Linked DNA regions of Mus musculus: region 1 is reported to be linked to region 2. The links are microRNA targets in miRTarBase. Many come from high-throughput screens and were not tested one by one. Region 2 holds a microRNA gene; the other region holds the end of a gene's coding sequence.
Evidence for each region. Region 2 holds the annotated microRNA mmu-miR-6953-5p (AAGGGGCAGGGGCAGGGAUUCAAGUG, at 2,837-2,862, opposite strand). A microRNA usually pairs through its seed, bases 2 to 8, with sites in the 3' UTR of a target mRNA and lowers its output. Matches are read on the target gene's strand: a 7mer-m8 pairs with bases 2 to 8, a 7mer-A1 pairs with bases 2 to 7 and ends in A, and an 8mer does both.

Region 1: miRTarBase lists Lypd1 as a target of mmu-miR-6953-5p. Seed matches in the 3' UTR shown: 7mer-m8 at 2,161-2,167.

What each region holds. Positions count from the first base shown.
Region 1 is chr1:125,869,569-125,873,954 of GRCm38, reverse strand. Lypd1 (Ly6/Plaur domain containing 1) reads left to right here. Exons shown (of 3, transcript NM_145100.4): 3 at 384-4,386. The coding sequence ends at 619. It overlaps Gpr39 (G protein-coupled receptor 39), which reads right to left. Exons shown (of 2, transcript NM_027677.2): 2 at 93-1,585. The coding sequence ends at 1,071. Among named protein-coding and RNA genes, the nearest start is that of Gm41943, 30 kb to the right of the region's middle.
Region 2 is chr15:76,246,672-76,251,057 of GRCm38, reverse strand. It overlaps Mir6953 (microRNA 6953), which reads right to left and starts at 2,867; the gene lies at 2,800-2,867. It overlaps Grina (glutamate receptor, ionotropic, N-methyl D-aspartate-associated protein 1 (glutamate binding)), which reads right to left and starts at 4,251. Exons shown (of 7, transcript NM_023168.3): 1 at 4,158-4,251; 2 at 2,881-3,207; 3 at 2,690-2,799; 4 at 2,409-2,609; 5 at 2,158-2,286; 6 at 1,937-2,080; 7 at 1,154-1,841. The coding sequence starts at 3,184. The coding sequence ends at 1,692.

The DNA.
Region 1 (4,386 bases), not on the chromosome of region 2:
TACACATACATTGCATACATGAACATATATACATACATTGCATGTATGAACATATACACATGCATTGCACACACAGAGTGGTGAGGGGAGACTTTGATTTTAATAGCTCTTTATTCATGGACACCAGCAACTAAAATCTCTGTTGGAACAACATTCACCATAAGTTCTGTGTGTTTGGTGACCTCCATGCCCACCCAAAAGAACTCCCAGACTCCAATAAGTCTGAGAATTCTTATCCCCTGAACCATCTCCCAGATCAGGAGATAAGAGCCCTTTCTGTGGGAGGAGTTAAGGAAAGGTTATGCACTCAGATTTGGGCACAAAGAGATAGCTGGACTGCAGATCACATATGCTAACCCCACTTCTCTGGGCCTGTGTTATAGGGATCATGTACCGGAAGTCGTGTGCATCGTCAGCAGCCTGTCTCATTGCTTCAGCTGGGTACCAGTCCTTCTGTTCCCCTGGGAAACTGAACTCCGTGTGCATCAGCTGCTGCAACACCCCTCTTTGCAATGGGCCGAGGCCCAAGAAGAGAGGCAGCTCTGCCTCGGCCATCAGGCCAGGGCTTCTCACCACTCTCCTGTTCTTCCACTTAGCCCTCTGCTTGGCACACTGCTGAAGCTAAAGGAGATGCCAACCCCTGCTGCCTCACCTGTCTGGCCCTTCGTCTCTCACCTTCCCGAGTCTCTTCTGGGTGTCCTTTTATTCTGGGTAGACAAGGGAGTCTTTTTGTTCCCTCCTTTCAAGTAACGCAAGATTGCCGTGCACAAATACTTTTGTAAGCTCTGAACCAATTCATTCTGAATTTCTGTGTGTAGTTGAAGAAAAAAGCATGGAGCAGAAAGTCCAGACCCTCCCATCCCAATCTGGTTAACCACCGCCAAGGCTAGCCTGGAAGAACCAGCCCTTAGAAGTCATTGAGATACGCATCTGCCTTTCCCAAAGCCTTGAGCTTCCATTCTGTCCCAGTAGGAGTCACAGTCTATTCAGAGACTGCTGCTGCGTGAAGGTAACTTTGCTTTTGCGGGAGGGGAGAGCCAGTTTCGGCTCAAGGCTTCTGAACTTGCCATTCATACTTCCTGCTCCTGTAAACTATTTTCTGGGGTGGACCCAGCTGGTTTGGTCTCTGAGCCAGTCTGTGGTGACTCAGGACTCAAGGGCTGGGGCTTAGCCTCTCCAGGCTTGGCCTCAGTCTGAAAAGTGCTTAAGAAAACCTTGTTAGTTCTCCTGGAGGAAGAGTTACTGCGCCGGGAGGCTAGGAAGATGAGGGGGCTGCGGGCTGAGCTGGTGCTGTCCTTGGTGGAGATGAAGCGGGCACGCTGGCGTTTCTCTTGGTTGGCATGCTGCAGAGTCAGGCGGCAGCAGAGCACCTGCCAGAACACCTTCCGGAACTGCTGAGAGGACACGTTGTAGAGGAGAGGGTTGACCACAGAGCTGAGGTAGAAGAAGGTATCAGAGAAGGGCAGGAGGATCATGTATGCCCTGAAGTACGTTCTGGTCCAGTCATGTTTGGGTTTTGCTGCAGCCATGATCCGTCGGATCTGATTGGGCATCCAACACACGGCCAACGTCACCACAATCAGTCCTGGCAGGCAAGAACAGGAGAGAAAAGGAGACGGGGAGAGAAACAGCATGAGAACAAAAATAAATAAATAAAAACCCATAAAATATTAAGCCCCTTGGTTCTGTTGCTTACTGGCCGAGAAACGGTACCAATCTTTCAGCTCTGTGCTTGTCGGCTTCTTTTTGCCACTGGCAAAGGAGAATTTAATGCTGCTTCAAGCTCAGGGGACTTGGCTATGTTAAAAAGCGTTAAATGCTTTCGACAGTGTATTTATACTTACGGCTGCCTGTTAATTTTCAAAATGTTTTCATTGTTGCTCGTGTATCCAGAAAATATCTCACGTTGGCCATAACCCTGGTTTTGTCTTTTTGTTTCTAGATGAGCCCATAAGGTATAGCCATAGTAGAGGGAAACGGTAGCTGTTTTTATAAACGACTACTGAACTATGTGAGAAGACACAGTGATATTGTGAAGTCAAATGGAAGTTGTTTCATTTTGCCTAAACAAATACATTTTGTGATGCTGATTTTGCATCCAGTTTCAGGAGAAGTAAAATCAGGGACAGGTAGTCATGGAGAAGAGGTACTACTAAGCCCTGCCCCTGTGCGTGAGGCACTGAGTATCCAGACATCCATATGAATGCCCATTACATTCTGGCTTACATAAACACGGCTACTTCTAAAGTATGACAAATGAAATCACAGTACAGTGTGTGTGTGTGTGTGTGTGTGTGTGTGTGTGTGTGTGTGTGTGTAGAAAGTAGACGATATATAAATGTATGTCCCAAAAGGTATACAACCTCCATCTATATCAGCATCTCTGCTTCTTTTCAAACACTTTTGGAAGCCCCTTCCACCTTAACTTAGGAAAACAAATTGTCCCCAAACACCAAAATCTCAAAAACTCATGCCATGTACAGACAGGGGCACACCCTCCGCTTTTGTAGCACTGAGCTGCAGTGTGACTGGCCAGGAATGATGAGGCCCCACAGAAGCAGTGCTGCTCAGCCCCCACTGAGAATGGGGCATTAGCTGACTGGACACTCATTTGCATACCCGGAGCTTACATTCTGGCTCCCACTATCACATCGAATCTATAGTCTGACAAGCACCTAAAATTCACAAGACTCTGACTCTTTATTGATAAAGCAAAGAAACAGGCCTGGGGAACCTTTAGGATGTTACTTACTCCTTTTTATGAGAAGCTGAGCATCATAGCAAATGTTCCCATGAGAGGGCTGATGTTATTTAAAGCAAGAATTTGGTAGCACTGAAGAGATAGCTCAGCAGTTAAGATGTAAGTTCTGTTCCCAGCACACATCAGGTGGCTCACAATGGCCTGTCACTCCAGATGCTGGGGTGGGGGATCTCTCAGCACCTGCACTTACATGCATATCCCTCCCCATACATACATAATAAGCATATATATATATGTATGTGTATATATATATATGTATGTATATATGTATGTATATATGTATGTATATATATTTGCATTTTACAAGTACCTCTTCCCACTCTGAGCCCAATTTGCTAGGAAACTACTGGGAAATAAGAACAGGGTCCCTGCTTCCTGCTTAGGGTGTGTGGTAAATAGCTGAGTAATTAAGGACCCAGGGCAAGCAGACATGTCTATGAGCCCAAGGTTAGCCCAAGTATCCCTTGACAGTACATAACTCAGCTGCTCCCAAAGACAGACCCTCTGAACATAACCCATCTGTCAGAGGGAGGGCCTAGGAAACTCTAGTCCTCTGAACTTCCAAGGATTCTTTCTGTCAAACCTCAGCCAGGGCTTTGAAATACACACCAATCTGCTTATTTCTTCCCTTTGAATTTGCTTCCCTGAGAACAGTCAGTAAATCTAAGAATAAAATAGGCAAAGTAAGATATTGATCTGATAAAAAAAAAAGGCTAAATAAATAAATAAAACTACTATCTCAAGTCAGGAGCAGATTCCAAATCACCTTGTTACTACTGCTGGATTAAAAAGTAACAACAACAACAACAAAAGCACTCACTGTTCTGATTTTTTAAAAAAATCGCCTGCCCAGGAAACTGGTACTGAGGGGCTTCCAGCTCCCCACCCCGATTTTTTCTGAAGTTTCTACAGCTCTGAGCGACCAGTTCAGTGTTGATTGTGAAGGGAACAGATGCCTGCGTGCATGGGGAAGCTGTGTGTTTTCACAAAGCTTCCCAGGCTGCTTTTGTTCCTCCGTCACTGAATTCTGCAGAACAAGTTCAACCATTATCCAAGGATGTGTTTGTTAGGGTATGGGGATGGAGCACACAGCTTTCTGTGTGTGCCATGCGACAGACACTGTGGGACGTTGCTCTTTGAGAATCTAGAAAGCCGACTAGACGCTCCCTGTACCTCCCACGGGCTGAACAAGACATAGCTTTGAAAGCCCACCAGCAAAGGTAGTGAGAGAAGGCAGGTTGGGAAGGAGGAGGGTGGAGGAGGAAAGATTTTGGGGGAGGAGGGGAGGAACATTAGGGTGGAGGAGAGAGATTTGGGGAGGGATGCTGAGGAGAAGTAGCATCATGGATCTCCTTTCGCATTGCACTGTCTCATCTCCTGCTTATACAGACTTCCCTTAGCTTCCTGCATGGCCTTGCTCAGCCTCAATCACCCTGAACTGGTCACTCCATTGAAAGGAGACTTTAGTTTCAAAGAAAAAGGAATGGAATAAAAGAAAGAAGAAGAGAAAAAGGAAGGGAAGAAACCCAGGGTCTGAGTGGAAGAAAGGGATGGGGAAGACTGAACTGGAGCTTGCTCTGTAGTTTCAGCCAGGGTAAAATCCTGACTGTAAGATTGAGATTGAA
Region 2 (4,386 bases):
AATTAAGGCAGACTCCAGGGAAGGGTTCCTAGCAGCAATGACCCCTCTTTCCCCCTCCAGCAGAAGGGCTACAAGAATAGACCGTCTAGGAGAAATCTCTTGGTTCAGTTTGTCTGAGGTCAGGGCTAGGGATGAGAATAGGAAGGCATCAGGGGAGTTGGCAGAGCCTGGATGCCAGGGTGAGGAATATGGCTTCATCCTGAGGGTACCAGGTAGATGGGTCTTAGGTAGGTGGGTCATGGGATCCACGGCTCACATCTAACAGTCTGGTTTGTAGACCGAGAGTCTTGATGAATCGAAGACTGGCTGGGGAAGGAATGGGACAGAATGGAGGAGGGGGTGACTGCATCTGGCCTGGGGAGATAACGCAGAAACCCCAGGTTTGGGAGAGGACGCTTGTGGCTCGGTACCTGTGGTCACTGGGTGGCTTTGTGGTACACACGAGGAACTGATGCTAGTTAATTAAATTAAATACACCCATATACTGCCAGGAAGCAACAGCCCAAAGATGCAGAGTCCTAGGGAAGAGACCTGTAAGAATCAAGGCCACTCTGACCTTGTGGTTTCAGGTTAGGGGACTGAACTGTGTTGAGATCCAGAAGGACTCACTCCACTTGTGCAGGGACTTGGATGGATAAATGAAGGCTCCAGAGATGATGTGGCCGGAGCAAAGGCAGGAGGGGGAACAGGCAGGCCTGAGGAACTGGCACCAAATGGCAATGCCAGGGAGTTAGAGGCCAAGGAGCCTGCCTGGTAGAGCCATCTCTGTTCGGCTCTTTCAGGGTTGTGCCAATGACCTACATGCTGCTGGTCCTGGTCAGAGACATAGAGACCTTATAGAGAGCCCACTGCTGCACTGTGCTACTCTCAGAGCGTAGAGATATACACAGTCTACTCCACACTGTGTGACCTGGCACTATGCCCGTGCCTCAGGAGTCCTGTTCATCAGTTCAGATCTCGGTGCACACCTTAAAATGCAGCCAGAAAGACAGCAAGAAAAGAAGCAGCGCACACACTGGATTAGCTAACTGTCATTAACCGCTGTCGTCAGTGCCTGTCCAGAACTAACCATCAGCCAGGGCAGGGGGTGCTGAAGCCCCTCCATGCCTCCTGGAGGAAGTGGCAGTGAAGAGAGACAAGGAGAAGCAGAAAGCAGAAGGTACCCTTTTATTGGCATTTTAACAATGGCAGCACGAGAGAGCCTCCTCCCTTGAAACATGACATCCTCTCTGCTCTTGGGGCCCAGCGCAAGAATGAGACCCCGCCCTGCGTGCCCCTCAGAAGGCAGGGTGGGGAGGGGACACGGGTACTCTATGCCAGGGGAGCCGGGACAGAAGGGAAGACGTGCACCCTCACCTCTTGGTATGATCCTTCTCCCCTGAGACCTGGTGTTGGTCCCTGACCCTGGGATGGGGCTGGCAGACAGGGCTCATGCAACAGTGAGTGGACAGAAGGTGGCACAGAAATGCAGCCCTGTCGCCCCTTGGCAAGGGCAAAAGGGATAAAGGGGGCCATGCTGTGGCCATAGAGGGTCCAGACGTTAAGTATTTGCAGTGTACATACAAGAGGGCGAGAGGGACTCCCTCTGCACCAGGCCAGGCCTGGGGACCAGAGAGAGGGAAGCACAGATGGCATTGTCATGCCAGGGGCATGGGTCTGAGCCAACCATGCCACCTGAGCTGGGGCTTGTTCTACTCCTTGGCACGGCCAATGATGGTGAGAATATATAGGAAGATGTTGATGATGTCCGTGTACAGGTTCAGGGCCGCAAACACATATTCTTCTGGGCTCAGGGACAGCTGCTTGTTCCCCAGGAGTAGCTGGGTGTCCACTGCCAGGAACTAGCGGGTAAAGACACAGTTGGTCGGTATTCGACAGCTTATTCACTCATCCCGGCCGGCATCCCAGGAAAGGCCTTCCCAACACCCTCACTCACGCAGGTGAAGAGCAGAGCGCCCAGCGAGGCGTATACAATCTCCAGGATGCGGTTCCGGATGAAGATGCAGAGGATGGCGAAGATGAAGAGCACCACAACACTCACCAGGAGCACGCCCATGCACGAGGTGAAGTCATAGCGGGTCTGGGAGGGAAGGAGAGAGGTGAGACTGTGGGTGTTGAGGGCTCTGGGGCAACCGTCCTGTCTTAGGTCCCCCTCACCTGCATGGAGAAGATGACCACCGTGAAGCAGACAGCTGTGGTGATGCCCACGGCCATGATGACTGCCTCCGTGTTGTAAAAGCTGGCTATCATGCCCACCATGTAGGACAAGCTGACGGTCAGGATCGACTGCGGAAGAGGATCACAGGGGGGGCCTTGGGTGTGGGGAGCTGCTCTTGGTCCAACCCTGTCCAACCTCCCTGTCCTGTCCCACAGGCCTAGGTGAACTGGGCTCAGGGATTGAGAGTTACCAGAGCAACAAGGTTCCAGGGATGCTTTCGCCGGAAGTCCCCACAACAGCTGAGAACAATGAGGGAGATGAAGAAGATGGCGTAGGAGACATAGTAGGTCCAGACATTCTCCCGGACAAAGCCCTTCACCTCCCCAACAAAAGTGAAAATGGCCACAGTGGACAGGGTCACCGACAGCTGCAGGGTCAGCACCAGGAACACCTGGGGAAGGAGCCAATCAGAGCCCCGCCTTGGCGGCCTCCTTGTGGCTCCTCCCACACCACACATATGCCAGGCCCAACCTTTCTGATAAAGGCCTGGCGAATGTTCTTGTCCCAGTTGACAGCAGGGAAGTCCTGGTTGTCATAGTAGGATGGAGGCCCTTCCTCCTGGTAGTTCCCATGCTGAGGTGCTGGGGACATAGAGGCTGGGTCAGTGTCCCCTGAGGGCACTTGAATCCCTGCCCCTGCCCCTTACCCTTCCCTACACTTACAGCCAGGGTCCTGGAAGGGTGGTGGCTGTCCATAGGGGTTGGGCGGGAAGGGGCTCTGTGGGTATGGCCCCTGTGGGTAGCCTCCTTGAGGGTAGGGCCCTTGAGGGTAACCACCCTGTGGATAGGGGCTGGGACCATGGGGATATCCTGGCTGACCATAGGGAGAGGGCTGGAAAGGGGCCTGTGGGTATGGGGCCCCAGGGTAGGGAGCCTGAACATAGGGAGGCATAGGGGCTTGGGGCCCCACAATGTTTTGGGGAGGATAACTGTCCCCAGACACCAAGAAACTCTTTTCATGGGACATGGCCTCGGGTTCTGTGGCTGCCCCTAGAGGAGAAAGAGAGAACAGTTAGCTCTGAGAGACTGAAACCAGTGACAGCCATACCTGCTGCGGACCAAGGAAGAAAACAACAACAACAACAAAAACAACTGGCCATGACCTTTGTACAGGGCTGTAGGGAGTCACAGAACAAGGAGGCGTTGGGTGGGGCACGGGAGACCGATGTGGACCCCTTGGAAGGGGCTCCTCTAGCTCGACCTGGGGTGGGGGATGGGAGGAAGAGTGATGGCTGTCAGCCTCAGCTTGGAGCTTGGGAGATGCCTTCTCACCGCTGCGGGTCTTTCGGGTCAGAGCTCAGCAACGAAGAGTCTAGAGGCACAGCGCAGTGGCTAAAGAGGTGTGGGGGTGTGCCCTGGCTCTCCCCGTCCTATCCCTCCTATTAAGCAGCTTGAAGGGGCCAGCGCTAGCGGCTATTTCTATCCGAGGAAATCCCCAGGCCATCTGTGACCAGCGGGAACCCTGACCCTCCTCTTAAGCACAGGGCTGAATGTCCCTAGCTCCGGGTACTGAATGCAGGCCTGTATTGGCTGCTAAGGTGTCTGCTAGTAGGGTACGCCAGGAACAGAGGGGTGCGGGGGTGTGTGGGGGATGGAAGCGACCAGAGGGCGTTCAAGGGAACAAAGCAGGGATGGGGACGACGGAGGAGGGGGCGGTGGCCACAGAATGCGCCCCGAGGGTGGATTGGTCGTCTTGTCGGGTTGGGGGTCGCTGGGCTTCGGGTCTGGGCCGCTACAGAGCGCCGCCCTCTCCCTCTTGCTCAGGGCCGCCAGAGCTCCCCACCCCCAATGATGCCACCAGTCTGGGTGAGCGGGCCGCGAGTCCTGACCGAACCAACTGACCCGAGGCGGTCGCGCTCAGTAACACAGGGAAGGGACGGCCGACTGACAGGGGGGCTACGGCGGCGGTACACTCTTGGGATTGGTCGGGGGGGACTCACCGCTCCCGGGAGCCAGAGACCGGTGCTTACGGTGCCCGCTGCGCAGCCGCGCGCGGTGATGGCCGGTGCGTCCGCACCTGCACCCGCTGGGCGGCCGGATTGCTTGGGCCTGCGCCTGCCGCTGGGGAGACGCAGAAGAGCCTTGTGACTGGGCGGGCCTTATGATGGGGCGGGGCCTTGTGATGGGGCGGGGCCTTGTGGTGGGGTGGGGTCTTGGGCGGGGCGGGGC